7 separate regions of the Mus musculus genome follow, and all the other regions are reported to be linked to region 5. The links are microRNA targets in miRTarBase. Many come from high-throughput screens and were not tested one by one. Region 5 holds a microRNA gene; each other region holds the end of a gene's coding sequence.

Region 1 (4,067 bases), not on the chromosome of region 5:
GGTGTTGGAGAGGCCCAATCAGCAGGAACTTTGCCAAGACAGAGCAGGGCAAAGCTGATGGAAACAGCTGGGGTGTGGGAGGTGGGTGGGCAGCCATGATGCGATGGCAGCTGGTGAAGCGCCAGGCCAGTTCACAGAAGGTACTGGGAAGCCACATGAATGTTGCTCATTGCAGGTACAGGCAGAGATTAAGAGGAAATGGAGGAGCTGGAAGGTGAACCGTTACTTCACTATGGACTTCAAGCACCGGCATCCATCCCTGGCCAGCAGTGGAGTGAACGGGGGCACCCAGCTGTCCATCCTGAGCAAGAGCAGCTCCCAGCTCCGCATGTCCAGCCTCCCGGCCGACAACTTGGCCACCTGAGCCCTGTCTCCCTTCTTCTTCTGCACAGGCTGGGGCTGCGGGCCAGTGCCTGCGCATGTTTGTGCCTCTCCCCTCTCCTTGGGCAGGCCCTGGGTAGGAAGCTGGGCTCCTCCTCAAAGGGGAAGAGAGAGATAGGGTATAGGCTGATATTGCCCCTCCTGTTTGGGTCCCATCTACTGTGGTCCACTGAGCCCAATTTGATATGTAAATACACCTCAAATTTGGAAAGTTGCCCCATCTCTCCCCCCCAACCCATGCCCCTGCTCACCTCTGCCAGGTCCCAGCTTGACCTACTGGGTCAAGGCCAGCCTCGGTGATGGCCTGATCCCAGGTACAAGGCCTTGTGAACTGAGTTTGAAACATGCCTGCTTTGGAGAGACTGGGGCAGTGAACACCCCAGCAGCCTTTCAGCAAATTGGCTTTGGACATGGACCCTTCTCAGCCTGTACCAAGTACTGCAGCTCAGTGTCATGAGCATCCTTTGGAGCAGGTCAACCTGAGGCTCCTTTGGCTTACATCTAAGTTGTCCAGGTGCTCAGCTCCTGTGTGCCTGGATGATGAGAGGGCTCTAGGGCTCTTTCAGTCAGAGACTTACATTGAGGTGGGGTGAGGGTCAGAGAAAGTTCTGGTGCTTTTCCTGTGCTCTAAGAGCTGAGAGCCAGAAATGCAGATTCAATTTGGAAGGAGATGGGATAGCTGAAGAACTTACCACGTCCATGACTGTGCCCTGACTCAAGACCGTATCATGTGGTGGCTTTATTTCTACACTTCTTGCCCACCATGGATGGCCTGAAGAAGCTGTTCTCCAGCCACAACAACCACAGAAAGCCCCTCGCTCTCCCCTCTCTGTTTTCCCATTAATCAAAGCCATGTCTAGAATGGGCCAGCCACCTTGCAGTAAAATCAATGAGTTCTGAAGCAACCTTCAATTTTCATAAGCCAAGTCTTGGGTCCAGGGAACTCCACAGTGCTCCCACCCCCACCCCCTCTACTGATTACAAGGAATCCTACATGCCATCTTCAGCCTGGACTCAATTACTAAACTCGGATTTGTCTGCAAGACTTTCTCCACGTGCCCTTGACATTGGAATCACTTGTGGGGCCTCCTAGGGTGTTTGGAGGTGATATGGTGTCTATCATGTGCATAGGCAGAAGCTGCTGGTAGAGGGAGTGGTGGCTTTCTAGTGCCCATCTTGGCTCTCCAGCTGCAAGTTGCACAGCCATAACCTAAGACTTTAAAATAAGGCCACACCCAGATTTGGGAAGGTAGAGGGGGAAAAAAAGTAGTGCCATGGGGCCACGGGGCCCAGCTTATTCCGTGTAGATGCTTGTTTTTGTCCCTGCCTCCGAGGAACTTGTTCATGATTGTGCTCTGAACTGCATGGGGAGTGTGGGGTGCTGCCTTGCTCGCTGTTATATTAAGTAGAAGGAGTTTTAGGATATTCGAGACAGTGCTTCTGGAGGAGCCATTGGAAAGACTGGAGAAGATTCTAATGGATAGGATTTAGAGATGTGTTCTGTGTTCTTGACCAGTGAAGTATGCTCTTGGGTCTTTGGCAAAGCTGGAAAGAGAAAGGGCCTCCTTGTTCTTTCCCAGAAACATTCAGTGGCTTGGACCAACCCCTGAGTATATACATTGGCTCTTTCCCCCCTGTACCTTATCTCTCCCCTCCATCCCCTCCCCTGTTCTGAGAACCAGGTTATCAGCCAAACAAGAATCAGTTGATCCCCTTGCACTTTGGACACTTCAATGGAGCCTGAGCTGCTTAGAAGCCTTGGTTCAGGATTCCAGCTGGGTTCATGACTGTGAACACAATGTGCCCTGTGCTGGGCCACAGCTTCCTTGTTTATGAAGTGAGGTGGTTTCTAGTGCTTTTCCAGGTTCTGCCTTAGTTAAAAACTAAGGCAGGTAAACAGAGATGAATCCTTGTGAAAAGCATCTAAGGGGTGTGTGTGTGTGTGTGTGTGTGTGTGTGTGTGTGTGTGTGTGTGCGTGCATGTGTGTATTAAGAGGGATGACATCCTGTTTATTTTCCCATTTGGATGCCACATGGTATCCAAAGCTGGTAGAGCAGCTATCATGCCTCAGGCCATGGACATTTGAATGGGAGCCTCAGGCATGATGTGCAGAAATAGCCTTCTACACCAGGCAGGGACAGGTTGCCTGTGGCCCCCTCAATCTGAGGTGCACCCCTTGGGCTATGGACCCCATTCCCTTGCCATCACCCCCGCCAGTGGGTCTGCTTCACTGTGGAAGGAGAAACTGTGACTTTCTGGTTGCATTACTGCAAAACAGCAAAAACCGAATAACCCGAGCCCTGCTGCTTTCTGAGCCCTGGGCCTGTGTCCTCCTAGAACTTCCAGGTTCCCGTTGCTTTGTTTTTCTGTCTGAAGGAATCTTTTTCTTAGTCTTGTGAGCAGATGTACCTGAAGGATTCTGCTGTTCCATGAGGGTCTGGCTCTCAGGCTGTAGGCAGTGATGGGGCAGCACAAGGCTGGATAAATCCCTTCCCTATTGACCTTCTTACATAGTGCAAGCAATAAGACTTATTGATCTGTGTGTATCCCAGTGTTCCTCTGGGGTTCTGTCTAAACACCAACCATCTTCTCTTGGAATGGGCCCCAGGCAAGGCTTGCAGCAATATAGCCTGGACCCAGAAAAGGGAAAACGATAAGGAAATTCTGTCTGGTAGGTGCAAAGGGCTTCATGGATTTGGAAACCTGGAGGCAGGAACATAGCAGATTTAAGGGGTACCCAGCTGTGGAAGGTCATTCCTGAGAAGTGGGGGCTTGTTTTATGAAACCTTAAAGGCCAAACGGACTGTCCCATTTTGGGGATCAGGACATCCCTGTCCTTATCTCCTGTCATAGCTGTCCAACTGCAGGGTAAGGAGCAAGTTGTGAGGAAAGGTCCTCAGAACATGGGATTCCACATGAGGAATCCTTAGGCTGCCAGGAAGCCAGAGGGGTTTAGAGGTGCTCAGCTTTGAGCCCCAGTATGCACTATGCTTAAGCTCTGACGACTCTTGCGTGCAGCGAGGAGGTCCTCCCTGACATGCTCAGCATCCCGCAGTGATTCCTCTCATAGCTCTGGGATGGGGCTTGGTTAGGGTGTCGTGATGGAAATAAACCTGAACCTGTTGCCCAGTACCAGGGCCTCTGCTGTTTGGTCTTCACTCTCTCTTCCTTGGAGGGAAAGCTACAAGAGACTCTCTTTTTAATTCCTTGAGTACCCTTTGCCCCACTTCCAAGAGAGGACAGCAAGTCCCCTGACACTGCAAATTTCATTTGAGCCTAGGGAGCTGGGAAAACAGTTGGGCCTAGTCTGTTTTTGAATTGCATTGCATTGAGTTGTACCGGTATTGCACAGCCCTGCGTGTGAGCCAGATGTAACACTCCAAGCAGCTGTGAAATGCAATGTTCCTTTTGCAGGAGTGGCTGTACCTGCAGAAAGCCCAGGGGTCCACAGTACAGTGCAGGAGAAGCAGCTGAGTTGGCCTGGTCTAAGGATACCCCCTAGCAAACTTGGCCCTCTCCATCTGTTCTGGGACTCTATACTTCCCTAACCTGGATCCCTGCTCTGCAATGAGGTGGCCGTGGTTACACCATCATCTACCCTCTAGCTAGGGATGAGGTGGAGGTAAAATGCTCCCTGTGAGTTTGCAAGCTCTGAAAACAACACCGCTGTGTGCTCATTCTTAGA
Region 2 (4,063 bases), not on the chromosome of region 5:
AATACTTGTCTCACTCATGAGATGCGTGAGCTTCTGCAGGTTGAATTCGATCATAGATTCACAAGCATTTTGTGCTAGTTCACCTGTATGTCTCATACTGTAGTGAGACGGAAAAGGTTGTCTCAATACATGTTAATTTGAGAAGGTTTGCAAATAGATTTTTTTGCGCATAAGAGTTTGGGAAATTTTTCTTTTTATTGTAGAACATATTAAGTACACAAAATTAGCATATCTGAGGGATTATCTCTAGGACATCCGATGTCGTCGTTTGTGTATAATGTGCTGCCCTCGGCAGTCGTGAGTATTAAGCCTACCTTGAGACTGAAGTAAGCATGACTTCTCTTCTCATTCCCAGGGGCCCTGTCCCAGTGCTGGTGATGAGTCTTCTGTTCATCGCTGCTGTATTTATGCTGCACATTTGGGGCAAGTACACGCGATCATAGATTGGGCTACATCCATCTGTCATCTGAAGAAGAAGAAGAAGGAAAAAAACCCAACATATCTTGGACCAAAAGTGTAGTGATTTTCTGTTCACGTGTATTATTTTACAGAGAATAAGAATTGACTTTGAGAAATCAGTTTTTTCTATGGCTAATAAACTTTGGAATTGCTTTATATGGAGACTGGTTGCCTGTGCTTTATTGTGAGGGCCCTCTGCCTTAAGATGTAGCAGTGAATAGGTCTTTCTTACAGAGCTCATTCTTTGCAGGATTGGCAGTTCCTCCTACAACCATGTAGTCACTCAAACTCAAGATGCTCTAATTGGCCTTGGCATGTTTTTCCCAAGGTATTTCTGTGCTAGTGATTGTCATTTTGGGTACTTGGTTTTCAAGAAGTGTGCCTTGGACTGCCATCAGGGATCTGTATGTGAGACAGGTGGTGCCGAGGGTAAAGAGTCAAAGAAATCAGAAACCAAGAGTCTTGGCTGGGGCGTCGGCTCATTCTGTTGTTTTGTTTTGTTTTTACTTTTTTGAGATGGGGTCTCGCTGTGTTGCTCAGACTCTTGGAGCTTGCCACGCTCCTGCCTCCACTCCTTGAGCAGCCCTGGCTCATTCAGTTCTTTGTGTCTAAAATCCAGGCAATTGTTTGCTTTTTCTCTTGTTCACATGTCCCTTGGGGATTTCTGCCCACTGATCTCTCATTTCTAAACCCACTTTGAAAGTACTGATTTGAGAAAGTGGATTTATTGGTATAATTTTGTTTTCATTTTAAAAAATAAAGACTTTGTAACAGGAGTGAGACAGCACTTATATACTACTATCTAAATGATTGTGTCCAAAAGTAAATATTGGGATTTGTCTTCCCCTGTGCTGCCCACTGAGTACAAATAGCATTTACTGTTCTGGGAATCACCCCAGCAGGGCAGTCCAGGAACCAAAGGCTCCACACTGGGATGCCCAGAGAGAAGGGAAGAAGGGACTGACTGTCCACCAAGATCAATGTTGAAGATACGTGCAAGTTTTGCATCTGTAAAACAGGCCATGGGAATGGATGGATGGCCCAAGTGGGGCAAACTGTCTGCTGATGATCTGAGTTTAGTCCCTGGGACCCACATGGTGGAGGGAGAGAACTGATCCCCACAAATTGCTCTTTGATCTCCACATGAGTCATGTTACGTGTATGCCCTCAAGTAAAATAAAGACATGAATTGAGAAATAAACGTAAAAAACATCTTGAGGCCATCTTGAATGGCAGCAGTTGAGGGTGTGCACTGCTCCTGCGGAAGACCTGCTTTCTGTTCCCAGCACCCACGTCAGATGGCTCGAAACTCTACAGCTTCAGGTCAGAGCATCCAACACTGTCTTCTGGCTTCCAGATGCACAGACTTAAAAACTAAAAATCAACCTTTGGCCTGGAGTAGTGGCTGCTCTTGCAGAGGTCAGCATCCACACCAGGTGGCTCATAGCTGCCTGAGATACTAAGTAGTGTATTGTACCAAATGCTGGCTTTCATTGGTATTTCTATATGTGTGCATAAAGTATTTAGTCACTGCTCTCTTCTCTTGTCCTCTGCTGGCTGGCTCCTTCCTCTTTCTAACTAGTCTCCCGTCTTTTATGTTACAAGTAGTCAGATCCAGAGCTTTGTACATGCTACATTATGTCTCGTCATAAGATTTATCTTTAAAAATTAAATTTAGTTAGTTATGTGTGGGCGGGGTGGTAAGTGTATGATAAGGCACATGTGTGGAGGGCAGGAGACACTTGGGGGGGTCGGTTCTCTTTTTCCACATGGATGTTCTGGGTCTCTGATAATCAGGTTTCTCAGCGAGCTCCACTACCTGAGGAGCCGTCTCACCAGCTCCATGAAAGATTTCTTATGGCGACATCAGTAGGTTTACACTTGTTAAGTCTTAGCAGACATTTTATTTGAGGGAAAATGGCTCGAAAACTGGTTTTCTTGGATTCTGTGAATATCTTACTGCACTAAACAGGTGTTTTTATTTTTTGAAACACAGGAAACAGAGTTCGATTCATTTGGAAAAAAGACAACAATATCCATAATAGAATCCCACCCTCCCCCGTAGCCAGTTAGAGGTACCAAACAAAACTAAAAGTTATTAACTTTAATTTGGAAAAGAAACGTGTGTGTGTGTGTGTGTGTGTGTGTGCCTGTGTCTGTTAACTGTCTCTAGGGTAGACATATTACAACCACATGGCTTTCTTTGCTGCATTGGCTTGGCTAGCCTGGTCCCCAATGGTAGCGGGAAACCTGATGCGTTTTCCGAGCCAATGAGTTATAAGGTATGTGCGCTCTCACTGGCAGGATGGGCAAGCTTCAGTCAGCAGAAGGAAAGGAAGGGAGCTTGGGAGTTGGATGGAAAGATGTGCAGCATGTATTCCGAAGCTGCCTTTGGCTCTGCGGTACAATGCTAATACTGTTGCTGAGAGACGTGGTGTTCAAGCTATTCCTTTCTTTTTTATCAGAAAAAAAAAATTATTTTTTTTGGTGGTAAAACACACATAACATAACATTTTTCATCTTAACCATTTTCAACTTACTGTTCAGTGGTATTCAGTACATTTATCTTGTAGGATGCTCTCTCTATCTGCCTCCCAAACTTGTCATCTTGCAAAACTGCCCTCTCCGAGCAGCTGACTGCCATCACTGTCTTCATGGTGCGGCTGTTCTTCCTACAGGTGGAGTCACACAGTGTTTGTCGTGTTTGTGACCTTAATTTGATTGGCATTATGTCCTCCATATGGGATTTCATTTGCCAGAATTTGCTTCTTTCTAGGCAGAGAGATAATTTCATTATATATGTATGCTACTTCTTATGCTGCTTTTTTGAAAATTATTTTTTAAACTCATAATGCTTAGGAGCCATTAATAATGTGTGTGCGTGTGTGTGTACTCCCTCTGTGGCCTAGGCTATCCTTGAACTCTTAATCCTTCTGCCTCAGTATTATAGGCATGTGCCATCACCACCCCTGGCTTTTATTTATAGCCCCTGTAAAATCCTAACACATTAGATCTTTACTTGAGTTACGGTGTTCTTGGCCCTGAGACGGATGCTTCCAGGCCCCTTAATGTGGGTTACAATTCTAACGGCTTCTGATGGCAGCAGTCCCAGCAAAGTGAACTGCTATCACACTAGCTTAGGCTGAGCCTTCAAAGTTCTTGGAGATGCCATGTTGGGGACAGTGCCTGAGTCCCTAAACTAGTTGAGAATGGGACATCTTGGGGTCCTAGTGTTAACTCTGAACACGGTGGGCCTGGGATGATGGCAGCTGTGTGCCTCTCCTGTTCCTACGCCCATTCTAGTCTAGATTCCAGGGGTCAGGACCCCACAGGAGTTGGACAAGACATTCTGAAATCATGCAAATGTTGGCACTAGGTTGAAATGCCCAAAGGTGTCTATAATTCTGGGCTGCATCTGCTGGGAAGTACTGCAGAGCCTGCGGAGCTCATGAATGCAGGGAGTGTGCCCTTGTTCTTGACAGGGTGCTGGGTAGCTCTGTAGACATGGCTGGCTTCAAACTTAAAGAGATCCGCTTGCCTCTACCTCTCAAGTGCTGGGGATTAAAGGTATACTCCACTAGGCCTGGCTGACAACATACTCTTG
Region 3 (4,067 bases), not on the chromosome of region 5:
ACTCATACCTTCTCTCCACCTACACAGTCCTGGAGACACCACACAGAGAGGGGCCCTCACAAGGTAGAGTTTGTGAATGGGGCCTGAGCACTTTTAACAGATTTCTCAATGATTCCAGCATGTAGCCATATTTTCTGTTTTCCATTAGATTTCTCTGTAAACTCCTTTGGTGCTAGGGATCAAACACAGAGCCCCACCCTCCTGGGCAGGTGCTTTGTCTCTGAGCTGCCCCCTCAGCTCTTAACTTCTCTGTCTTGTTTGAGACATTTGTCCCTTTCAAATTTTGTATAATTGTTATTATCTGTGTCTTCTGTCTTAGGGATTTCTGTTCCCTAGAGAAAGGACCCATCTTCTCATTTCTGTATCTTTCATGAAAATATACATTGGCCATCAGGGAGACATTGTCAACCACACACAGTTTGTGTCCTGCTTGAATCTATTGTCCTCACTTGGATGCTCAGTGTGGAACTGCTTATGACGAAGGGTGTGGGTAACCACAAGGGAGAAGCATGCTGCTTGTCGTCTTGGGCACAGCACTGGGACGAAGATTTATATGTGTGCGTAGGCTAGAGGGGATCGGGTTGTAGGGGATACATCTGATGAGAATTTAGGAATCACTTGAGGGTGTGATGGGGAAGTGAAAACATACTTGACATACAATATGTGTATGGTTGAAAAAAACCCATTAGGGGACCCAGTCTGATGCTCCTGTCTTTAATTCAAACACTTGGGAGGCAGAAGCAGGCAGATTGTTGTGAGTTTAGGGGAAGCCTGGTTTACAGATGAAGTTCCAGGTCAGCCAGGGCTATATAGGGAGACTCTGTTTAAAAAACAAACAGCTTTAACACACACATAAAATAAATGTAAAATAAAGGAATTATTGTGCGGAGGGCCATGAGCCTTTTTAAATGAAAAATTATTTGAAGGCAGGTGCTATAACTTCCAGGAGGAGGTAGGGGCTTGAGAAATACATGCAACAGCCATTGGCTGAGATCTTCGAGCTGAGCGGAGGGTGGGTTAGGGGACACCGAAAGCATCTGAGAACTGACTGGCATCAGGGCAATATGTTGTTGGTGGTGGATGCAGCATCTCTGACCGAGGTCTGAGATGATGGAAAACTCAATGTGAGGCTAGCACACCTTTGACCCCATCCCAGTGCAGTCTGCGCTGCCTCCAGTGTCTCGGGTGTGGAAATGGGGTGGGGAAGGGCAGGCCACACTTGCATTTGCATGGCTTGCAAATGAAGGACATGAAATGATAGAGTAACACTCAATGGCATTAATTTGTGCAACTCATTCAGGTCAGAGGTTTAAGAGGACAGACAGGGCGTAGTAACAAGAAAGGAACAGGAGGTTCTGGAGAGAGTTCAGTGTGGAGATTGTTCTGAGTTGAGGGCTGCAGTACTGCCTTTGAGTGGCTGAAGCCTTGGGGATTCCACCACAGTAAACCACTCCTCCCACCCAAGTGGCTCCAGACACTCAAAGGCAATAATGCAGCTTTCAACTCACAAACAACTCCACATGTTCCCTCCCCCTGAACTCTCTCCAGCACCTCCTGTTCCCTTCTTGTTAGTATTCTGTGTCAGTTTCTCAGTTGTAGAGCGTGTGTCTGGCACATGCAAGACCCTGGCTTCCATCCAAAGCATGGCAAAACCAGAAACAAATAGACAGAAAACCCCACAAAGTGCTATCAGTGATATATAATACATTTTTATTATGAACATAGAGCAAATTTACAAGTAACTCAGATTTGTCTTAAGCCGGGCAAAATTAAATAATCCAGCATTGCGTGGGTGAAGCAAAATATACACAGGCTGTGTTAGGACTGAAAGAAATCCCTGAGTAGGAGAACTAATTAATTCTCTCCAAAGCCTGTTGGCTTGGCGTGAGACCAAACACTTGATATCCAATACAACCTTTGCTTGACAGGCACAGAGGGTGTGCCTTAGCTCAGAAGGTTCCTGAGGTGACTGTTTGCCTCTCCTCCTGCTGCTGCACTCATCCCTGGTGCCCTGGTGGGGAAGGCAGGATTCAAGGCTACAGAAAGGCCAGGGCCAGGTGAGAGGACCCTGCTAACAGCCCACTTCCGGTGGAGCACTGGTCCACTGGAAGTGCAGAGCATTCCAGGCTGTAAACACTGCCTCTGGCATGGGTGACTGCATTCCTTTAAGGACACACTTTGAATGAGCCAAACAGACAGTAGCAGAGGCCAAGGTTTCCTGAGAGTGCAGGGCAGACAGAATGTCCAGGTAGCCAGGCCTGGTGGCCAGGGCTGCAGTCTGAGCAGGTGGGGTGCTGCAGAAGGTGTTACTGTGGGATTGAAACCTGCACAGGCTCCATGCTGGAACTCTGTCTCAAAAGAAGGAAAAAAGTCAAAACGAAAGGGAAACAGAGGCAGAAACACTGCAGAAGGGCAGCTGGAGGCTGGTGCTGGGTTTCCAGAAACCTAGCTGGGTCCCTCTTTGGTGGGGATGTGGAAAGCTTGTTATTATTTTATTTTTTGAAGGTGAGAACAGTTTTTGTTAGAGTTTAAAAGAAACACAAGAAGGCAGAGAAGCTGGAGATCTCAGAGGAAGAGTGTCCAGGCTCTGGCCAGTATCTGAAAGACAAGATAAAGAGATGGAAAAAGGGAAACCAAGGCTTTTCTTGACTAATTCAGAAAAGCAGGAGGCTTAGCCTGACCCATGACAGTGGTACTGCAAGGGACTGCCTCACTGTTCATTTATTTATTTTTGGTTTGGAACTCATGATCAAAAGGGCTTGAGGGGCTAAGGGAGACAGAAATCTAGTGGCCCTAAGGCAAAGTGATCAGCTCGCATACTGAGAGGCAATTCAGTAGCTACAATTTTCAAATAGTGGATTGTCTCAGAAAGAGGAAAACTCCAATACCTCCAAATATGGCTTCTTTTCAAATAATTTCAACACTCTCCGAAGGTTAGCTCTGTGCTGCTTTTTCACACTCCAGATGTCTGTCAGTCCAAAGTCACCAGCTCTGCTTTTCTGGGCACCTTCCTGGTGGATGTTAGAGATGCTGTCTTTTCTTCTGAATCCTGCCTAGCAGTTTGCTTGGAGTTGCTGACAAAGAGCCTCTCTAGTTGCTGTGAGTGGATTTTCTGGAGAAAGGCTCAGAGAAGGGCTCAGGCGTGAGGGCACAAGGTTCAGAGACTCGAATGTCCCAGATGGGTAAGCATGACAGTTGTCGGGTGTGTAGATTGCCCATGGAGGTTTGATCTTCTCATGTATGGTGGCTTCCAATCAGCCTTTAAAGATATGGGACTGGCCATTTCCTGCTTCTGGTTTGTTTTGTTTTGTTTTGTTTTGTTTTGTTTTGTTTTGTTTTGTTTTGTTTGGCGTAAGCACTTAGGTGACCTCCAAGGTTTATGGAAATTCAAGTCAGACTCTGATAGGGCAGGACTTGGAGTTGGGAGGGGAATGAAGGTGCTCTGAATAGGTCAATTTTCAACAATCTGGGTCAGGAAAGTGAAAGGGTGAGAAATTTTGATACCTCACTCTCAGCCAAATTTGAAAGCCTAGAAGGGTTGAGTTTTCTGTAGGCTCCAGGATCCACCTTTTCTTCTATAGACACTGAAGGAGTCAATAGAGTGAATGCATGAGTGTGTGTGTAAGTGTGTGTGTGTGTGTGTGTGTGTGTGTGTGCGCGCGCGCATGTGTACGTGTGTGTGTGTGCTGAGACCCTCCAGTGAGGAACAGAATCCGGGAATGCATCACTGGTGCAGCCAGCAGGACAGACGGACAGATTATGCTCACTTCTTTTTTACTTCTGAATAAACTGTTTCTGTGGCTCTTGGAGAAGAAGGGGCTGAAGTTGGCCGGTTGGGTTGCTGGGAATTGAAGTTCAGGACAGTGTATGCGACGTCATCCACCTGAAAGGATGAGAGTTGATCAGTGACTCAGCACCACAGGCCTGAGCCTCACCTTGCTGCAGCGGTGGGAGAGGGCTCCTGTCACTCACAGTCAGACATCCAGATGGGCTACAGAGCAGAATGAAAGCCAGATGTGTGCGAGGATGTGCACTGTCAGACTGCCTTTGCCCTCTGTAGGAAATGT
Region 4 (4,055 bases), not on the chromosome of region 5:
CTCTGGGTACATCAGCTGCCTCTGCTCCTCTCGCCTGCCTGGCTCCCAGTGCTGCAGCTGACCTCAGGAAGGTGGGGTGCTAAGGGGCCTCTGGAATCAGAACTGCTCAAACTCGGGGTGTGGACATCCTGTCCTGGGCTTTTCCCTCCCCTGCCTCCCTACACCCCCGCTGACTTCTGAAGAGCAGACACTGACACAACCCCCTCCATCTCTTTTCCTCACCCAGAATTCCCCTACACCCCGACTCCTGAACACGGGCGGCGCGCCGGGCAGATGCCCACAGCCATCATTGGGGGCGTGGCAGGGAGTGTCCTGCTGGTGCTGATTGTGGTCGGAGGGATCATAGTGGCCCTGCGCAGGCGCCGGCACACCTTCAAGGGTGACTACAGCACCAAGAAGCACGTGTACGGCAACGGCTACAGCAAGGCAGGCATCCCGCAGCATCACCCGCCCATGGCACAGAACCTGCAGTACCCGGATGACTCGGATGATGAAAAGAAGGCCGGCCCATTGGGCGGGAGCAGCTATGAGGAGGAAGAGGAGGAGGAGGGCGGTGGAGGAGGCGAACGTAAGGTGGGCGGCCCCCACCCCAAATATGACGAGGACGCCAAACGGCCCTACTTCACTGTGGATGAGGCTGAGGCCCGTCAGGACGGCTATGGGGACCGGACTCTGGGCTACCAGTATGACCCTGAACAGCTGGACTTGGCTGAGAACATGGTTTCTCAGAACGACGGGTCTTTCATTTCCAAGAAAGAGTGGTATGTGTAGCCCCGCCTTCTGGAGCCTCTGTCTGTGCCCACTTCTCCCAGGCCCCTACCCGCACGCCCCCCTGCCCACCCCCACAGCCCACTGCCCTAAACCAGCCCCAAACTCCTGAGGAGCCAGAGGAGCTCAGGGCAGACCCCACTTGGCTTCGTTTTTTTGTTTTTTGTTTGTTTTTTGTTTTTTTTTTTTTAATTTCCTCCCTCACCCACCCTTCCCCCTGGTGTTGTGTTCGACCGTGGCTTTGGTGTTGCTGTACCTTTCCTTTAAGGACCCCTTCCACTGCCCTGTGTGTAGGGAGCCCTGTTCTTGTCTTGTGTACTTGGGCATCCCTCCAGGGTTTGGGGAGCCAGTCCTCTCCCACCCCCCCACCCCCATCCCCCAACACTGGAATTTGTTTGTGTTCTCTCCGTTGGGAATGGAGGGCAAAGGGAGCTTCGAGATGGAGAGCACCCTCACCCCCACCCGATATGCTGCTCCTCTTCTCAGAAAGATGTAACCCAAGCCCCCACTAAGCTGATGCAGTCAGTGCACCTAAGAGGTTTTAGAGGAGTTCTCCGTGGTACCCAGGGGAGTCTTGTGTGGGGAATAATGGAGCTGAGGGTTCTGCTGGGGTCCTGGGCAGTGTGTTTTCCTGGTGAGGGTGGTTTTATGTTTTCTTTTTTTTTTTCTTTCTGGCCCCCCAAATGGAGTTGGCGTAGCTCTCATATACCCCTCTCTGTTAACGCCCAGTCCGTTCTGTACACAGTGGGTGACCCCAGGTGGATTCTACCCACAGTTCCTATATGCCTCTGCCAACATATGCACACATATCCATGCACACATCCCTGGGCCTATGCCAACCTCTCACGCCCTGCCCAGGCTGAACACTGCCCGAGGCCCAACCCTCTGCTCCACCTCTTACCCGTTCCCAGCTCAGGAAGGGATCAGCCCACAGAAGCATTCAGAGTCAGCTAGGATGAACCTCCCGCACCCACCCACCCACCCCCAAAGCCACTCTACAATTTCAGTGTAGCTCCAACCTTTCCTGACAATGTACATGTTTCTCGGATTTCTCCTTATCTGTCAAGTGCTAGCAACACTTGACTCTTCTGGAAAGTCAGGGCTGGGATCCCAGGAAGGAATGCGAGGCACAGAATTATTGAGACGGAGAAGGCTGCTTTGTGGAAACTGCAAACACAATTGAAGGGGGACTGCTAGCGTCTCATATGGGAAGGCTGGCCTAGATGTGTCTCGGGTCTCAAAGAAAGTGCAGGGGCACCGGGGACCTGCTGCGTATCCACAGACTGACCCCTGCTCACTCTCTCCTGGTGCCAGACTGGCAAGATGGCCGTGTAGAAGGGCCTTTGCATGCAGTCTCCCTCTTTGAATGGGATTCTGGCTTTGTCAGCCGTTCGGGGCTGGGCCTTCCCTTGAGTGCATGGAAAAAGGTCTCCCCACCCCACCTCACCCCAGCCCTCTGTCCCCAAGCTCAAAGTGCCTCGGTTTCTCCATCTGTGCCCCCAGATTACCCTCATTCTAAATGGGCATTCCCAGGGCCTGCCTGTCAGGATCTCAGCCAACTCAGCCCTAAGTGACACTCGCTGAGGGATCACAAACATTGGGGAGAGGGAGGCAGACCATTCTGTGCCCTACGGGCACTGACCCACCCTGCCATAGGCTTCCTAAGGGAGCCCCAGCCCACACCCCACTCCTCCCTGGTGCTGCTATTGAGTTCCCAGTCCAAGCGCCATCTCTGGCACCCCTTACTCAGCCCACCAGCTGGGGCTCTTCTGCCAGGCCCTCACTGCCCTAGTCCCAGCCCAGGCCGCCCAGTAGCCACGTAGCAGAAGTCTGAAGCCATGCCAGCCCTGGGGCGGCTCTCCGTCTTGGCATTGGGGACACTGGATGGGGTGAAGTTTGGGGAAGAAAATTCTGGGGCCTTTCTAGCCACAGGGAGAAGGAAGATGGAGGAGCTGGGCTGCTTCTCCCAGAAGTATTAGTGTCCTTTCCATGTCACAGCTCATCCTGTTCCTCATACCACTCTGCCCCTCTCCTTGGTCCCCCTCCCCCACCCCCAAGGCAGGAGGCAGAACCCTGACTGCCCCAGAGTGGTATTTCTGTCCCTATGGGGCCATAAGACTGAAAGACTCACCCTCCCGAGTCTCTCGCACCTTTCACGGTCATCCCCTATCCCCTGTCTTGTGATGGATCGAGGAGGCCCTGGGCCTGGACAAAGCACCTAAGCTCCCTGTACAAACCTGCACGCCTTTCCCCGAAGCAAAGCACAATTTATAGGGTCCATGCAGCAGGATCTAGGATCCCCAGCCGTGGCACTGAGCGCTTCCAGGCGGCCGCCACCTGGGCTAAGAAAGGACAGGAGTCAGGGGTCGGTAGCTGGACCCAAGGAGAAGGGGCTTTTCTTGCCCTGTGTTTGCGGGACAGTGGACACAGCCAGCTGACAGTGTGACAGAGCGGAGGGCATTTTGCTTCACCTTCATGCCCCCCCCCCCCAGCACAGCTGAGCTTCTGCCAGACTGCGGAGAGTAAACTTGGTGTGTTACCTGCCCAGACCCCTCCGGATGTCGTCCCTAGCTGCCCTCCCCCTCCTGTCCCTCCCCTGCCCCTGGACCCCTGTTTCCCTACAGATTTTGGTATTGTTCTGGTGTGCAACAACCCTCTGAGTCTCTTTTACCAGAAGGACCTGAAATACAGCAACACACAATTAGTGAACACACGCCCAGCACACCAACACACGCCTTCCACAGACCAAGCACAGGTGTGTGTGTGTGTGTGTGCACAAGTACACACATAAACGAGAAACCTGTATTAATTAATGCTCGGGCCCCAAGCCCTGGGAAGGCGCACCCTCTGCCAGCCACCCCAGCGTGCCCCAGTCACTGGTGCAATAACCTTCCTGCCATCGTCCAGGTGGGAGAATCAGGACTCACGTCAGGTGGGTGAGGCCACCCCTCTGAGCCCAGCAGACACTGCATCCTTTCCTGGGAGGAGGGGGGTGCTCCCAGGCCTCTGGAGGAGTCCAGGTAGAGACTTCCCCAAGCCTAACTGCCAACTGAAACCCTCTCCTGGTGAGGGCAGGTGGCTCCAGCTGACCTGGGCCGGAGACACCGAGAGGTGAGGAACCAGCCTCGCTGATGCTGCTTTCTGACCCCAGCTGTGAAGAGTGGGCTGGGGGGAAGAGGGTGACTTTTTTTTTTTTTAACAAATGGAAACAAAATCCAGGAGAAGCTGCCACCCTCGCCTGAGTGTGACTAAGCTTCCTTTGCTTCAGTTTCTATGTCACTGTTTTC
Region 5 (4,067 bases):
AGCACAATCATAAAAATTCTGTGCACCAGGAAGACTATAGTCTACCCTTGCATATCTAATATATATGTAGAAAACAAGCGCAGGAACTCTGGGTATGTGGGATAGAGCATTTTGGAGGATGTTCCTGTTGCCTGCTCATGGTAGAGCATGTCCCCAACATGTGTGTTACAAAGGGCTTAATCTCTAGCACAAAAAAAACAGGCAATATTATTCACTTCTACATTTTGTTTTTGGAATAGCTGACAATGAAAATTACAAACAGTATTTTATAAACATAATCTGTAAATGGGAAAATCACATCAAGGATACATTCCCTTTGTCTACCTTGAAATGATCCAAGGCCAGCCTTGTCTACAAAGCCAGTTCCTGAACAGCCAGGGCTACATCGAGCAACCCTGTCTCAACAGGGTAAACAAGGAATGAAAGAAAGATTGATAGTCTCTTACTATGTTAGGTAATGTAGCTTTTATGCAAACTTTAATCAGTGGTTCTGAAGGCTTAAGTTTTCAGTAACATATTGTTGGAGAAATTTGTATCCAGACATCCTTATTGGCCTTGAATTCGTTTAAAGGTATTTTCTGCTCCTTGTCTAAGGGACTGCCAGAAAATGGGTTATACTGCAAGGTTGTGTTTAGTTGAGTATGGATGAGAATTGGGCTCAAGACACTGGAGCTGCTGTTCATCTTCCTACTTGGCTCAGAGACATGACGATTTATACCAGATTGTCTGTCCATTTTAAACTTCTAACTATGAATATAGATACACCTTAAGGGTCTTCAATTTCAAGGTGCTTATTACCCTATAATCTTAAACCCCAGGCTAAGATTATTTATTGATAATGCTGCCAACAAATGTCTTTTAACTCATGAGTAACTTTTGTCGGGGCTACAAGGGGTTTTTTAAGAGTCTGTTTCCCTCTCAGATCACTTTTTCATGTTGATCTAAATGTTTGTCCACAGTTCAAATCATTTATTATTATTATTATTCAGTTCTCTCAGTAGTCAGGATATTGAATTAGTCCCAAAGATGAGAGATATTCAGGTATATAGATTAAACCTTACAGGCTGACTAGTTACTCGCTAAGAGGTTTGGGGTAGGATATATGGAGGAGAGTTTTACAGGGAAGGAATTTTTTGTCATGGATAGCTGCCATCCTCTCATTCCTTAGATATACATTTAGTTTCTTCTCCATAGAAGAGCCGTATCTAGGAACTGCCAATCCTCAGTAAGACACGGAGATAGCAGCGGTGCCCCATCATTCTCATCTGAATAGTCTCTTGTCACTGGCAGGCTTTCTCCTGAACTTTATTTTTCTTTTGAAGTGTTTAGAGACTTGAAATGTTCATTGCTTTACTTTGAAGCATCAGATATGTGTAATATCCACTCTAGGGTTTCTGATCTCAAAGCATTATAAAGCAAGGCATGTTGGCACATGCCTAGAATCCCAGCATTTCGGGTCCTTATACAGGAAGACCATCTTGACTTTGAGTCCAGTCTGGGTTTCATAACAAGTCCCTGACTGAAACAAACAACAAAATCTATGAACATGTTTTCTACTCAGACCTATCGTATTGATCTTTACTATTCAAATAATGCATTTATAATGAGGACAATTTTACTTAAGTAAATGGTTCAGATTTGGGAAAGGAAGCTCTGAAGTGTGCATGCAAACAGTGACTCTAGGGTTTGGGCATAGGCATTAGCTGGCCTGTTTGTTAATTGCGTCCACTCAATGCTATCTTAGTTATTGTTGCTGTTAATGATGGAGCGGGCAATGCAAGAATTAAAAGAAGAAAGTTAATTATTATTATACCTTTTGAATGGTCAATGGTGTTGTGGGGAGGGATCATGGACGTTTTTAATGATTCACTAATGTGAAGTTAGCCCATGTAGGAAACTCGATGATTCTTCCATTCATGCTCTTGATTAGTAATCTATTGCCTTTCTTCTTTGTTCTAAGTTAAAAGCTTTTGAAAACTTGTGTTATAGCTGAATAAAGGTTTTTGTATAAACACAGAAAAGGATGTTTGGGGAATGGTCACAGTTGACCTGAAGCCGAATTCTAACTGATAACTAGCTATGTTAGTTCTTGTGACTGTCATCCCTGGAGAGCAAGAAACAACAGCTGGCCTTGGTGATCAGGAGAACTTCATGGATCGCGCAGCAACCTGGAGTGGTGTTCCTCTGAAGAAATCCTACTCGGGTGGATATAATACAACCTGCTAAGTGTTCTAGCACTTAGCAGGTTGTATTATCATTGTCCGAGGTTATGGCTCTCGTCTATCAAACTAATCCGTAAGGGCAAGGATGGTGACTTTGTACTCACAGTGCCTAATCCGGTGCACATTGTAGGCCTCATTAAATGTTTGTTGAATGAAAAAATGAATCATCAACAGACATTAATTGGGCGCCTGCTCTGTGATCTCCATGGGCTCAGCTTGTTCCTGCCAGTGGCCTTCAACGTTCAAGCTCTCCGCAGCGTCCTTATTTCTGCAGCTCATTCCTGTGTTCTGTGTAGTATAATCATAGTGGATATATTTTACCTTTCAAACCAATTCCAATTGATTGATAATTGTGCCTCGACTGTGTTTTATAAAAAGGATTCCATATCTGGTTCTTTTCTATCCTGAGGGTGTGGAAGGAAGGGATAATAGCTCATGTACCATAAATGTGATATTTTCTATGAAATACTGTATTTATGCCTGTGTTTTGGAAATGCCTGCTTGTCATTGTTGCATCTCTGTTGTTGTTACTATAATCGCTACCGATTACTCCCTAGGTTGGACTACAGTGATCACTGAGTAGGAGCTTCGTCTTTAAAATCTGGGGTGTGCTGTTATGGTTGGTATTCATTTTCCTTTACCCGCTTTCCCCATACCTCCATTTATAATTTTATTGCTGCTCATAGCTCCAGAAGGATATAGTAACAGAGCAGGCATGGCCTCAGTGTGGTAAGCTAAGTGAGAACAGGAAGTGGAACCAGGGTAGAAAACCCCAGTCTTGCCCCTAGTGACACACCTCAAGCAAGGTTCTCCTTCTGAAAGGTCCCATTACATTCCCAAATGTAGCCACCACCTGGGATATGAGTGTTCAAATACATGAGGTAGGGCCACGGTGTTCCTTCAAAGCACCACAGAGGGCAGAATGTACACCCTGCTAGAATAGCTTTCTATGAAAGGATCCATCTCTTCACTGGAGCAGGCAGACATATGAAGAAGACAACTTGGAGTGGTCGTGAAAGGATTTGAGGTTTGGCATGGACTCTAAGAAGCACGAGATTTGTGGTTTTCCTTCTTTGTTTCTTGCTAGGTAGTCCTGGCTGTCTAGTAACTACCTACAAAGATCAAGGAGACCCCAATCTTGTAGCAATCCTGCTGCTGCCTCACAATTGTTAGGATTATAGACATGGGCACATGTTCATTAGAAAGTTGCACTGTTCTCTAATTCATCTTTTAAGATAAACTATAGAGGGATGAAGATTAGCATGTTACACCACCACAGATAGAAACCATTCTAGTATCACGAAACATCCAACTCATGTAGAATTTCCATTCGCTGTTTGGGATGATAGAGAGATGGAATTGAGTTTTTAGAAGGTAAACCACACAAGAGAGTCTAGGGAACTGACAGAGCCTGGCTGGACTGCACAGTTCGTCCTCAAACGACTTTTTACTGACCCAGCTCCTGAGGAAAGGACCCTGGTGTCTGAACTTCAACGCTGATTTAATAATCATTGTTTTCATGACTGGTCCTTTAGAAATCTGGCCTGCTTTATATTTGCCCCTGGGGCTTAGACAAGGGAGAAAAATGGAAAATACTGTCCGAGGTAACCACAGCCACACAGAACCTCATACACCAAGTGGTTAGCCTTATCATAGAGCACAGGTGCCTGTTCTCAGTCACATGCTAGCCCTGTCTTAGGATTTTGTTTACATTAACCATTCTATTTCACAGTATTAATGTCCTTATACACAAGATACACAGAAATCTTTGTTGTGTTAGACATCAACAATGAAAAATCCCTCAGGCCCAAATATCAGAAGATAGCACGAAAATACCAAGTCAGA
Region 6 (4,067 bases), not on the chromosome of region 5:
CTGTCCCCACTGTCCCCTGGGCAGGAGCAAGAGCAAAGGTAACGGGTCCCAAGAAAAGTCCAGTAGTGTGGACAGCCACCAGGAGGAGACTCAGCTGCTGTTTGTCTTCTGTGCCCCCGACGTAGCTTTGTGTGACTTGTTGACTCCTGCTTTGCCGGGGCCTGATAATAGGACCTTCTTCCAATTGCTCCTGGTGCCCATTGTACTGTACATGATGGTTACTGAGGCAATAAGAAAAACATAAAGATAAGTAATGGCTTGTGATGTAGAGTGGCTACTAGCCAGGAGGAGAAGCCAGTTTGGTCCCCTAGGCCATTGCTCCACCATCCACATCCTGAAGAGGCAAAGCCGAATGAACAGAAACTCGGTGTTCTAAGTGTTTCTGTTGTGGTCTAGGGGGTCAGAACCTCTGAGCTAAGCCTCAAAAAGTCGCAAGGGTGATTGAACATAAAGTGGTTATTTGAGCACAGGAAATACGTGGTGAGACTGATCAGACCAGGAAACCAGGCCTAGTGAGATACAGACCGGTACAGTTCATCTGGTTAGCAGGCACTGATTCGCCTTGTACATTTCAGACTTACAACAAGAAAGGGGCCTCTCGGAGGAAAGACCACCTGAAGGGCCACCAGAACGGGTCTGTGGCCGCCGTCAACGGACACACCAACAGCTTCCCTTCCCTGGAAAACAGCGTGAAGCCCAGGAAGCAGCGAAAGGATTGACAAGCCGAGCCGAAGCCTCCAGACCGCGGCGTGTGATTGTAAGCACAGCGTGACTTGTGCCCTGACGCTCATAGCAGCTGCTGTCACTAGTCTGGCCCTACTATCTGCAGTGTGACTCATGTAGGACCTTCTTCATCAGTTCAAAACCCCTAGAATATGTATACAGATTATACAAAGTAGGCATACGATTTTCTCACATTTCTGGGCTCTCATCGACCCCCGCGCTAGACTGTGGAAAGGGAATGTTCTTGTAGTATACAACACTGCTGTTGCCTTATTAGTTGTAACACGATAGGTGCTGAATTGTGGTTCACAATTTAAAACACTGTAATCCAAACTTTTTTTTTTTAACTGTAGACCATGCATGTGATTGTAAATTTGTACAATGTTGTTAACAGTAGAAAAACACACATGCCTTAAGACTTAAAAAAGCAGGGCCCAGAGCTTGTTAGTTTAATTAGGGTATGTTTCAACTTTGTATTATTCATTTGTATTAGCTCTGTTTAGAAAAATCAAATGTATGATTTATGAAACAAGTGTGTGATGTGTAACTTCAAGTGACTTGGAGATGCGAAATCTGATGGCACCCTTGGTTTTATAACGATGGCTTTAAATAAGCAGGTTCAAGTCTAGTGGAACAGTCAGTTTAACTTTTTAACAGATCTTATTTTTTTATTTTGAGTGCCACTATTAATGTGTTTAAAGAGGTGGGGAAAGGGTCCAAAGCGTCTGGAGACACTTACGTACCTGTCCCTGGTCCCCCAGAGGCTAGGGTGACTATAAGAGTAGGTCACTTTTCACTTCTGAAGTGCTTAGTGTTTTTATACAGGAGATAAAAAGGCCATTCGACTTCCCACCACTTGGAGAGAGAGAACTACCTTTCAGGAAAGGTGACGAGACATTTATTATCTGACAGACACACACACACACACACACAGTGATAAGGGACTGGTTACCTGGGTCCACATTTTTTTTTATTCTTTTCTGTAGTGCTACTTTGACATACACTTCCTTTTAAAATGTGCCTAATTTACCAAGAGACCAGGAAGCACCATAAGCATTTTGAGGTAAAATTTAAGAGCTGGAGCGCGCAGGAACTGGGTGTTTGGGAGCAACCGCTTTTTTCAGTGTGAATCATGGTGGCATCTGTAATTTTTTTCTGATTAGCACCTAAAGATCGGTTTAAAGTGCTTGGACTGCTTATCCTAAAATCGTGTCTAGTGCGCTCGAGGCATCGGTCATACAAATGGGGACTCTTTTCATGTGTGTCATTTTTAAAGTGTTGAAAGCTTAGCCTTTGAATACCTTCTGCATTGGTAAAAAATCCATGGAACCACTCATGGCACATCTTAGGAGATGATTGACAATGTATAAACTAATTGTGGGTTTGATATTTATGTAAATACCAGTTTACCATGCTTTAATTTTGCACATTCATATTACAAGGAGCCAGTTGGTCCTAATTAGCCTTGTGGGTTTTCTGTTTGGAAGGAGTTGCGGCATCTGTTTACATTTCCCTTGTCAGATCTAGAATGTGTGTATGTGTGTGTCTTCTCCCTAGGTACCCGTCTGCAGGTGTCTTTACATATCTCAATACAAAAATTATAACATTTGATAGTGTGCTGTCAAAGTGTGCTTAGCTCATCTGGATATACCCACACTGTTAAATAATGTCTAAACATTAATCATTAAAACCTTTTTGATTACCCGTGCTGTGTCTTCTGTTGTTTGATGTGCTGACAGTTCTGAAAGACTGCAGGATGGTCAACTCTGTCACCTTGTAGGAGCTTAGGGAGTGGACATGAGTAATGTAGCGTGGAAAGTGGTTGTATCAGTTGGGGGCTCTCTAGAGAAACAGAACTCATAGAATGAGTGTGGGGGTGGGGGGAGGATTTATTAGAATGGCTTACAGGTTGTGGTCCAGCTAGTCCAACAAGGCTATCTACAGACAGAGGATCCAAGGATCCAGTAGCTGTTTAGTCCACGAGGCTAAATGTCTCAGCTGCTCTTCAGGAAACACGGGTTCCAGAGCAGTCGCGTCGAATGCCAGCGAAGGATTTGCTTGAGTGGACTCACTAGCAAGAGTGAGAACAAGCAGGCAAAGAGAAGAGGGCTTCCTTCTTCTCTGTCCTGTTTAGAGAGAGGCTGCCAGCAGCAGGTAGGGCCTGGATTAAAGGTGGGTTTCTACCTCAGAGATCCAGATCTCAAGTGGGTCTTCCCACTTCAGATGATTAAGGAACAAAATCCAGCACTGGCGTAGTCAGTTTGAGTTGTAGTCAGTTCTGCATGTGGTCAAGCTGGCAACCAAGAATTGCTATCACCTCCCATGGCAGAGGACCCCAGAGCATAAATCTCAGTGTCTTCCAACAACCCTAGCTCCTCCCCTGCACCCCTGCTAGAGGGTTCACCTCTGAGCACGCTCCTGCATCCTCCTTTCCTTCCTGGCATCCCATGCTCTTCCCTCATCTGCAGACTGTTAGAGTAACTTCTCGTTGTAGGCAGTAGGTCTGCACATTTTTCTGTGAAGAGCAAGAGAGGGAGCACTCCAGTTTCCGTGGAAGCTACTCATCTGAGCCATTGTAGAGTACAAAACAGCCACAGGCACGAAGGTAAATGGGTGTGGCTGCCTTGGAACTCTGTGTGAAAAAAAAACAGAAGACCCGTGTCATGAGTTGCTGAGTCTGCCGGAGACAAGTGCGTTCCCTCCTTCATCCCAAAGTCTCATCATTCACACACACACACACACACACACACACACACACACACACACGCCGGAGACAAGTGCGTTCCCTCCTTCATCCCAAAGTCTCATCATTCACACACACACACACACACACACACACACACACACACACACACAAATGGTTGCTTTTCCAAATCCTGCCCCTCCCAACCTACCTGAGGCTTTTATGTCCTATCCACGCCTCTGGGAAGCAGGTGATCTTGAATGCTTCATCTCTCACAGTGACACTGATGGCTTACGGCTTAAGTGCCCCATCCTCCTCCCCCCCCCCCTTCCCACCACAGCTGGAAGTACAAGCTGGAGCTTTTGTGTATGTAAATAACAGCTTACAAGATCTCCTGGAAAACACTTAACACTAGTAAATGGCACGTTAAAGGATGACCAAGGGGATCATTGGAGATTGGCTAATGGTGATAGAATCAAATCAGTATTTTTCCCTTAAGTCCAGAACAAAAGAAAAACATAAGACACAGAAATCAGAGTAATAAAAATCAAAATAGCCGAGTACGTAGGCAATCAGGAGACAGGGTCAGGAAGATGATGGCAAATAGGGCCAGCCTAGAGTTACAGGCCAACCAGGATTGTATAGAAAACAGCTTTCATCA
Region 7 (4,067 bases), not on the chromosome of region 5:
AAAACAAATCTAAAGGCAGTCTATCAGTTGGGGTAGCATTAGCTGGAATACAGATCTCCAAACGCATCTCTGGCTGCTCCTTTTTATTCTTAAGGAGCCACTGAAAACTGTTTTCATTCTTGTCTGCAGCGGCGGCCTTAGTGGCTCCCTCTGAGCCCAGCCTGACAAAGTGCCTTACAACCTTGTATTTACCCAACAGGAGAGAGGGAAGAGAGGGCAGAGAGGAGCCATGCTTCCTAATACAGGGCAGGGTGGCCATGCTGACACGCTTACGGCAGCACACAGTTGTCAAAGGGTGGTGGCAAGGGGTTTCAGCTGACCTATGTGTTTTTCCACACTTTTAAATTCCCAACAATGAACATGCATTGTTTATGTATTGTTATCTTTGGAGGGAATATCACCTTTAGGAAAAGGAGTTATGAGAACTGGAAGTTCACAGCTGGACACCGTGGTACTCTAGAATCTTAGCAATTAGAGAGCTAGGGTATACATAGACCCTTCTCGAAAACACCAATCAATAAGAAAACAAGAAAGAATTAGAGGCTCATTATTAAGAGAGACATGCCATTGGTCACACAGAAAGCAGCATAGCTTTTACCAACAAGAGGTATTGAGAGCCCACATTTGACTCTCTTGCCCCATGCCCAAAGCAGCAAGCAATCAGGATCAAGAATGAAGCAATTGCAAACTGAGGCAAGATCACTTGTGCAAACGTGACAGTATTCTTGGACAGACTAAGTGGAAGCTTTTCTGCCTTCCAACATGGACGACACGTTAAAAATACTCCATCTTCAATAGCCTTAGCTTATGCAATAGAACTTTATTTTAAACTTTGACTTATAACTTTATATTGTATAGCTGTACAAAAATATTTTGAGTTATTTTCATTTTTAACCTTTCTGAATTTTCTGTTAATACTAACACACACACACACACACACAGGCCCATACACTTATTGATTGTCTTCATTCTCACTGCTTTCCACCTGTGTTGTCTGCACATGGGAGTTAGCGCTTTAACAGCACACACTCTGAGCAGGTCATGTGAGTGAACACATAAGGTGGTGGCCTGTGAGTGACAGTTGTGTGCACAGCTGCCTGTTCTCCCTAGCCTCTCGGTGACTTTGAGTGATTTGGAATTCAGGCATCTTTCAGCTCCACTGTAGACGTACGGGCTCACTGTCATACACCATCTGTCTCACCCATACATCAACAATGCGGCACATGGCAACTGAAAAACGCAGCTGCTCACTAGAGCAGAAAGGCAACCTGTAGGTTCTATTGTTCTTGCAGACCAGGAGGCTCTGCAAAGACAGAGGGACCCTTCAGAGTTCTTCCCACTCAGGCACTTCAATGGGGGGTGGGGAGTGAGGGTGGGATGGGTGGGGGAGTGGGCCTGCCTTTAGTCTGCAGCAGTTCAGAAAAGGCAAGCTTCAAAAGTAACCGTTAGCAACAAAGTATGCGTAGTCCAACTTGAGCACTACTCTGGATTAAAGTGCGGTGGAGTCTACAACAGTATGCGTGGGCAACAGCCTGTCATTGGTCACTGCCTGGCGTGGGAAGACAACTCTCAAACTAGGTCTGGAGAGTCTTTTGTTTTTAATTTTTGAATCAGGGTTTCACTATATAGCTCTGACTGTCCTGAAACTCTCTTTGTAGACCAGGCTGGCCTTGAATTCACACATCTGCCTGCCTCTGCCTCCTGAGTGCTAGAATAAAGATGCGTGCTTCCCACTCCTGGCTCCATCTTTGTTTTTGAGGCAAGGTGTACTGCTGCCCAGGCTGGCCTTAAACTCGCTGTGTGGCTGAGGATAGTCTTGAACTCTTAATCCTCTTGCCTCTACCTTCCAAAAGCTGGGATTAAAGTATGTCCCCTCAGTTTAGGTCTGGATATTCTCATGTCATTATTTAAAAATTACTTTGTTTTATGATTAATACCAAAACATATAAAACTTGTAAGTATCTACTAGGATATGAATGTTAAAGTGTGTTTTACTGACTGGGTAAACAAAACAAATTGAAAGCCAATGTAAAAGACAGAATGCATTTGGATGGACTTTTAGGACGTCAGAGAAGTGTGAATAAGATACTTAAAGGTCCAGCGTTTTTCCTACCGATAAGTAAAGTCCACACTGAAACCTGCAAGGATAGTCAGGAACCAAGAAAGCAGCAAATAGATGTGGTGTGGGGTGGTGTGAGGACATCTCTCAGCCATCATGCACACCCCCACAATGGGAAGAGCTGTGCCACAGCCCCATGGAGCAGTTCAGGGGAAAGACCAGAGACAAAAGGAGGGCTTCTCCTCCTGAACTTCTCCTCCTGACACTGCCTTTTAGCACGGGGGTCTTTCAAAAGGAAGGGAAAGGCAGCAAGTTCCACACCCGGCCTTCCAGCATTTAGGAACGCATAGTCACTGGGAGGCTAGACTCAGAGAAGCCACGATGCCAGGTCTGGAAGGCAGTAGACGAGAGGAAATACATAGGGCAGTAAGCAGCTATGGAATTCCTGGAGCTATGTTAGGTTTCAGGCAGACCTCTTCCAAAAGAGCAACACTACCTCCCCGAGGGTACCCTATCCTCAGAGTCAGGGTGGAGCTCAGCCCACAGTGGGAGCACCGTGTGTCACAGCTCTCGGGCTCAGCAAGTTTCTACAACTACTTAGGAGTGAAGAAGAAAAACACTGATAGGCCTTGAGGACGCTGTGCTAAGTGAAACAAGCCAATCAGGAAGCGAGACCCACTGCACGATTCACTCATGAGGCGAACAGTCATCAAAGAAGGGCAGTAGCACTCCCCTATGGGAAGACAGAAAACCATTTCCACTTCCTATGAGGTCTGGGTGTTTTCCAGATGGCAGTGACGGGTGCTTTGGAGCACTTCAGTATGCTCAATTCCACGGACTGCACATGCAGGAACTGGTGCAGTGGCTCATGCCTGCAATTCCAGCACTTAGGAGGTTGAGGTGGCAGAATCAGTACTTCAGAGCTAGCCTGGGCTACATAGTACAACCCTGTCAAAAGAAACCAAACCAAACCAAACCAAACTCTAAGCCAAAAAAAAGTGACCCTGCTAAATTTTGTATATACACCATAAATTAAAAAAAAAATCACCAAAGTTAGAAAGTCGCCAAGGCAGTTACTACAGAACGAAGAGAATTGCAATGGGGGAAAACATTTTTTTCTGCAACCCAGGGACGAGTACATAGCTCTAGCATGAGGTCTAGATGAATTTTCTGAAAGGATGACCAAGAGTTGTTTTGCTTGGGGACAGGGTCTCACCGTGTAAGCCACACTGACCTTGGGAACTGAAGGTCCCCTTTCTCTGCCTCCCGAGGCTGGCATCACAGGTGTGCACCCACACAGCCTGCAAGGACAGCCTGCTCGGAGGACGCTGTTACCCAGCATGCCCCACTCTCCCTCACTCCACGAAGACCCCATGTTCCTGGCACTGGTGGAGTGAATGCTAGCTGGCTCTGCCCCATCTTGTTACTCATAGTAGATGAATGCGAAGTCCCAGAAGCCGCTTCTGCTTGGGAAGGCTTTGCTCTGCTCTAGGCTGCGGTGGTTGATGTGTTTCACAAACCTCAGCGTTTCTCTGTCTCTGTAGACCAACGCCAAAGAGTTGTTTTCTGGATTCACTATGAGCAGCTGTAACGGGAAACACGAGAGATGTCAGAACCCAGAGCTCGTTTTCCGCTCCGCTCGGGGGAGTCATCACAGAGCAGGTGGTTTCCATAGTGACTCTTTAGGCTGGGGAGGAGGTCCCAAAGAGTTTTTTATTAGGAGAGGTGTGTTTCTGTCTAGACATTTCCCAACAAGCTCTGCCTCACTAGCACAAACCCGGAAACGGTTTGGCCTAATGTGTTTGCTTCCAACTCCCTAGAAAGAGTGGTGGGTGTGAGCCTCTTAACTCAGGCTCTCAGTAAGGCACAACAGTGTGTGCTGAATTTCCTTTCGCTTTACTGAGTTACTGCAAGCTCCCATATATTCTTGTGAAATCAGAGCCACCTCGAGGCAGGCCAGCATGGATTTATCAGCTAAGAACACTGGCTGAGGTCATAAAATGTGTAT

The links. Region 5 holds the annotated microRNA mmu-miR-374c-5p (AUAAUACAACCUGCUAAGUG, at 2,236-2,255, opposite strand). A microRNA usually pairs through its seed, bases 2 to 8, with sites in the 3' UTR of a target mRNA and lowers its output. Matches are read on the target gene's strand: a 7mer-m8 pairs with bases 2 to 8, a 7mer-A1 pairs with bases 2 to 7 and ends in A, and an 8mer does both.
Region 1: miRTarBase lists Adcyap1r1 as a target of mmu-miR-374c-5p. Seed matches in the 3' UTR shown: 8mer at 2,367-2,374.
Region 2: miRTarBase lists Sec61b as a target of mmu-miR-374c-5p. Seed matches in the 3' UTR shown: 7mer-m8 at 537-543.
Region 3: the mRNA of Ceacam1 is a reported target of mmu-miR-374c-5p. Seed matches in the 3' UTR shown: 7mer-m8 at 1,701-1,707.
Region 4: the mRNA of Nectin1 is a reported target of mmu-miR-374c-5p. Seed matches in the 3' UTR shown: 8mer at 3,570-3,577.
Region 6: the mRNA of Elovl5 is a reported target of mmu-miR-374c-5p. Seed matches in the 3' UTR shown: 7mer-m8 at 1,196-1,202 and 7mer-m8 at 1,209-1,215.
Region 7: the mRNA of Ogfod1 is a reported target of mmu-miR-374c-5p. Seed matches in the 3' UTR shown: 7mer-A1 at 1,931-1,937, 7mer-A1 at 912-918 and 7mer-m8 at 238-244.

Annotation. Positions count from the first base shown.
Region 1 is chr6:55,496,808-55,500,874 of GRCm38, forward strand. It overlaps Adcyap1r1 (adenylate cyclase activating polypeptide 1 receptor 1), which reads left to right. Exons shown (of 17, transcript NM_007407.4): 17 at 176-4,067. The coding sequence ends at 364. Among named protein-coding and RNA genes, the nearest start is that of Gm34441, 38 kb to the right of the region's middle.
Region 2 is chr4:47,482,620-47,486,682 of GRCm38, forward strand. It overlaps Sec61b (Sec61 beta subunit), which reads left to right. Exons shown (of 4, transcript NM_024171.2): 4 at 356-614. The coding sequence ends at 443. Among named protein-coding and RNA genes, the nearest start is that of Sec61b, 10 kb to the left of the region's middle.
Region 3 is chr7:25,460,018-25,464,084 of GRCm38, forward strand. It overlaps Ceacam1 (carcinoembryonic antigen-related cell adhesion molecule 1), which reads right to left. Exons shown (of 9, transcript NM_001039185.1): 9 at 1,685-3,883. The coding sequence ends at 3,764. All of the region lies in intron 4 of 4732471J01Rik (RIKEN cDNA 4732471J01 gene), which reads left to right. Among named protein-coding and RNA genes, the nearest start is that of Ceacam1, 16 kb to the right of the region's middle.
Region 4 is chr9:43,803,246-43,807,300 of GRCm38, forward strand. It overlaps Nectin1 (nectin cell adhesion molecule 1), which reads left to right. Exons shown (of 6, transcript NM_021424.3): 6 at 227-4,055. The coding sequence ends at 771. Among named protein-coding and RNA genes, the nearest start is that of Gm46108, 14 kb to the left of the region's middle.
Region 5 is chrX:103,571,274-103,575,340 of GRCm38, reverse strand. It overlaps Mir374c (microRNA 374c), which reads right to left and starts at 2,256; the gene lies at 2,208-2,256. The region is part of intron 9 of Ftx (Ftx transcript, Xist regulator (non-protein coding)); the gene reads left to right. It overlaps Mir421 (microRNA 421), which reads left to right and starts at 2,345; the gene lies at 2,345-2,420. It overlaps Mir374b (microRNA 374b), which reads left to right and starts at 2,187; the gene lies at 2,187-2,281.
Region 6 is chr9:77,982,090-77,986,156 of GRCm38, forward strand. It overlaps Elovl5 (ELOVL family member 5, elongation of long chain fatty acids (yeast)), which reads left to right. Exons shown (of 8, transcript NM_134255.3): 8 at 576-2,430. The coding sequence ends at 719. Among named protein-coding and RNA genes, the nearest start is that of Gm34829, 3.7 kb to the right of the region's middle.
Region 7 is chr8:94,063,756-94,067,822 of GRCm38, reverse strand. Ogfod1 (2-oxoglutarate and iron-dependent oxygenase domain containing 1) reads right to left here. Exons shown (of 13, transcript NM_177767.4): 13 at 1-3,644. The coding sequence ends at 3,483. Among named protein-coding and RNA genes, the nearest start is that of Ogfod1, 29 kb to the right of the region's middle.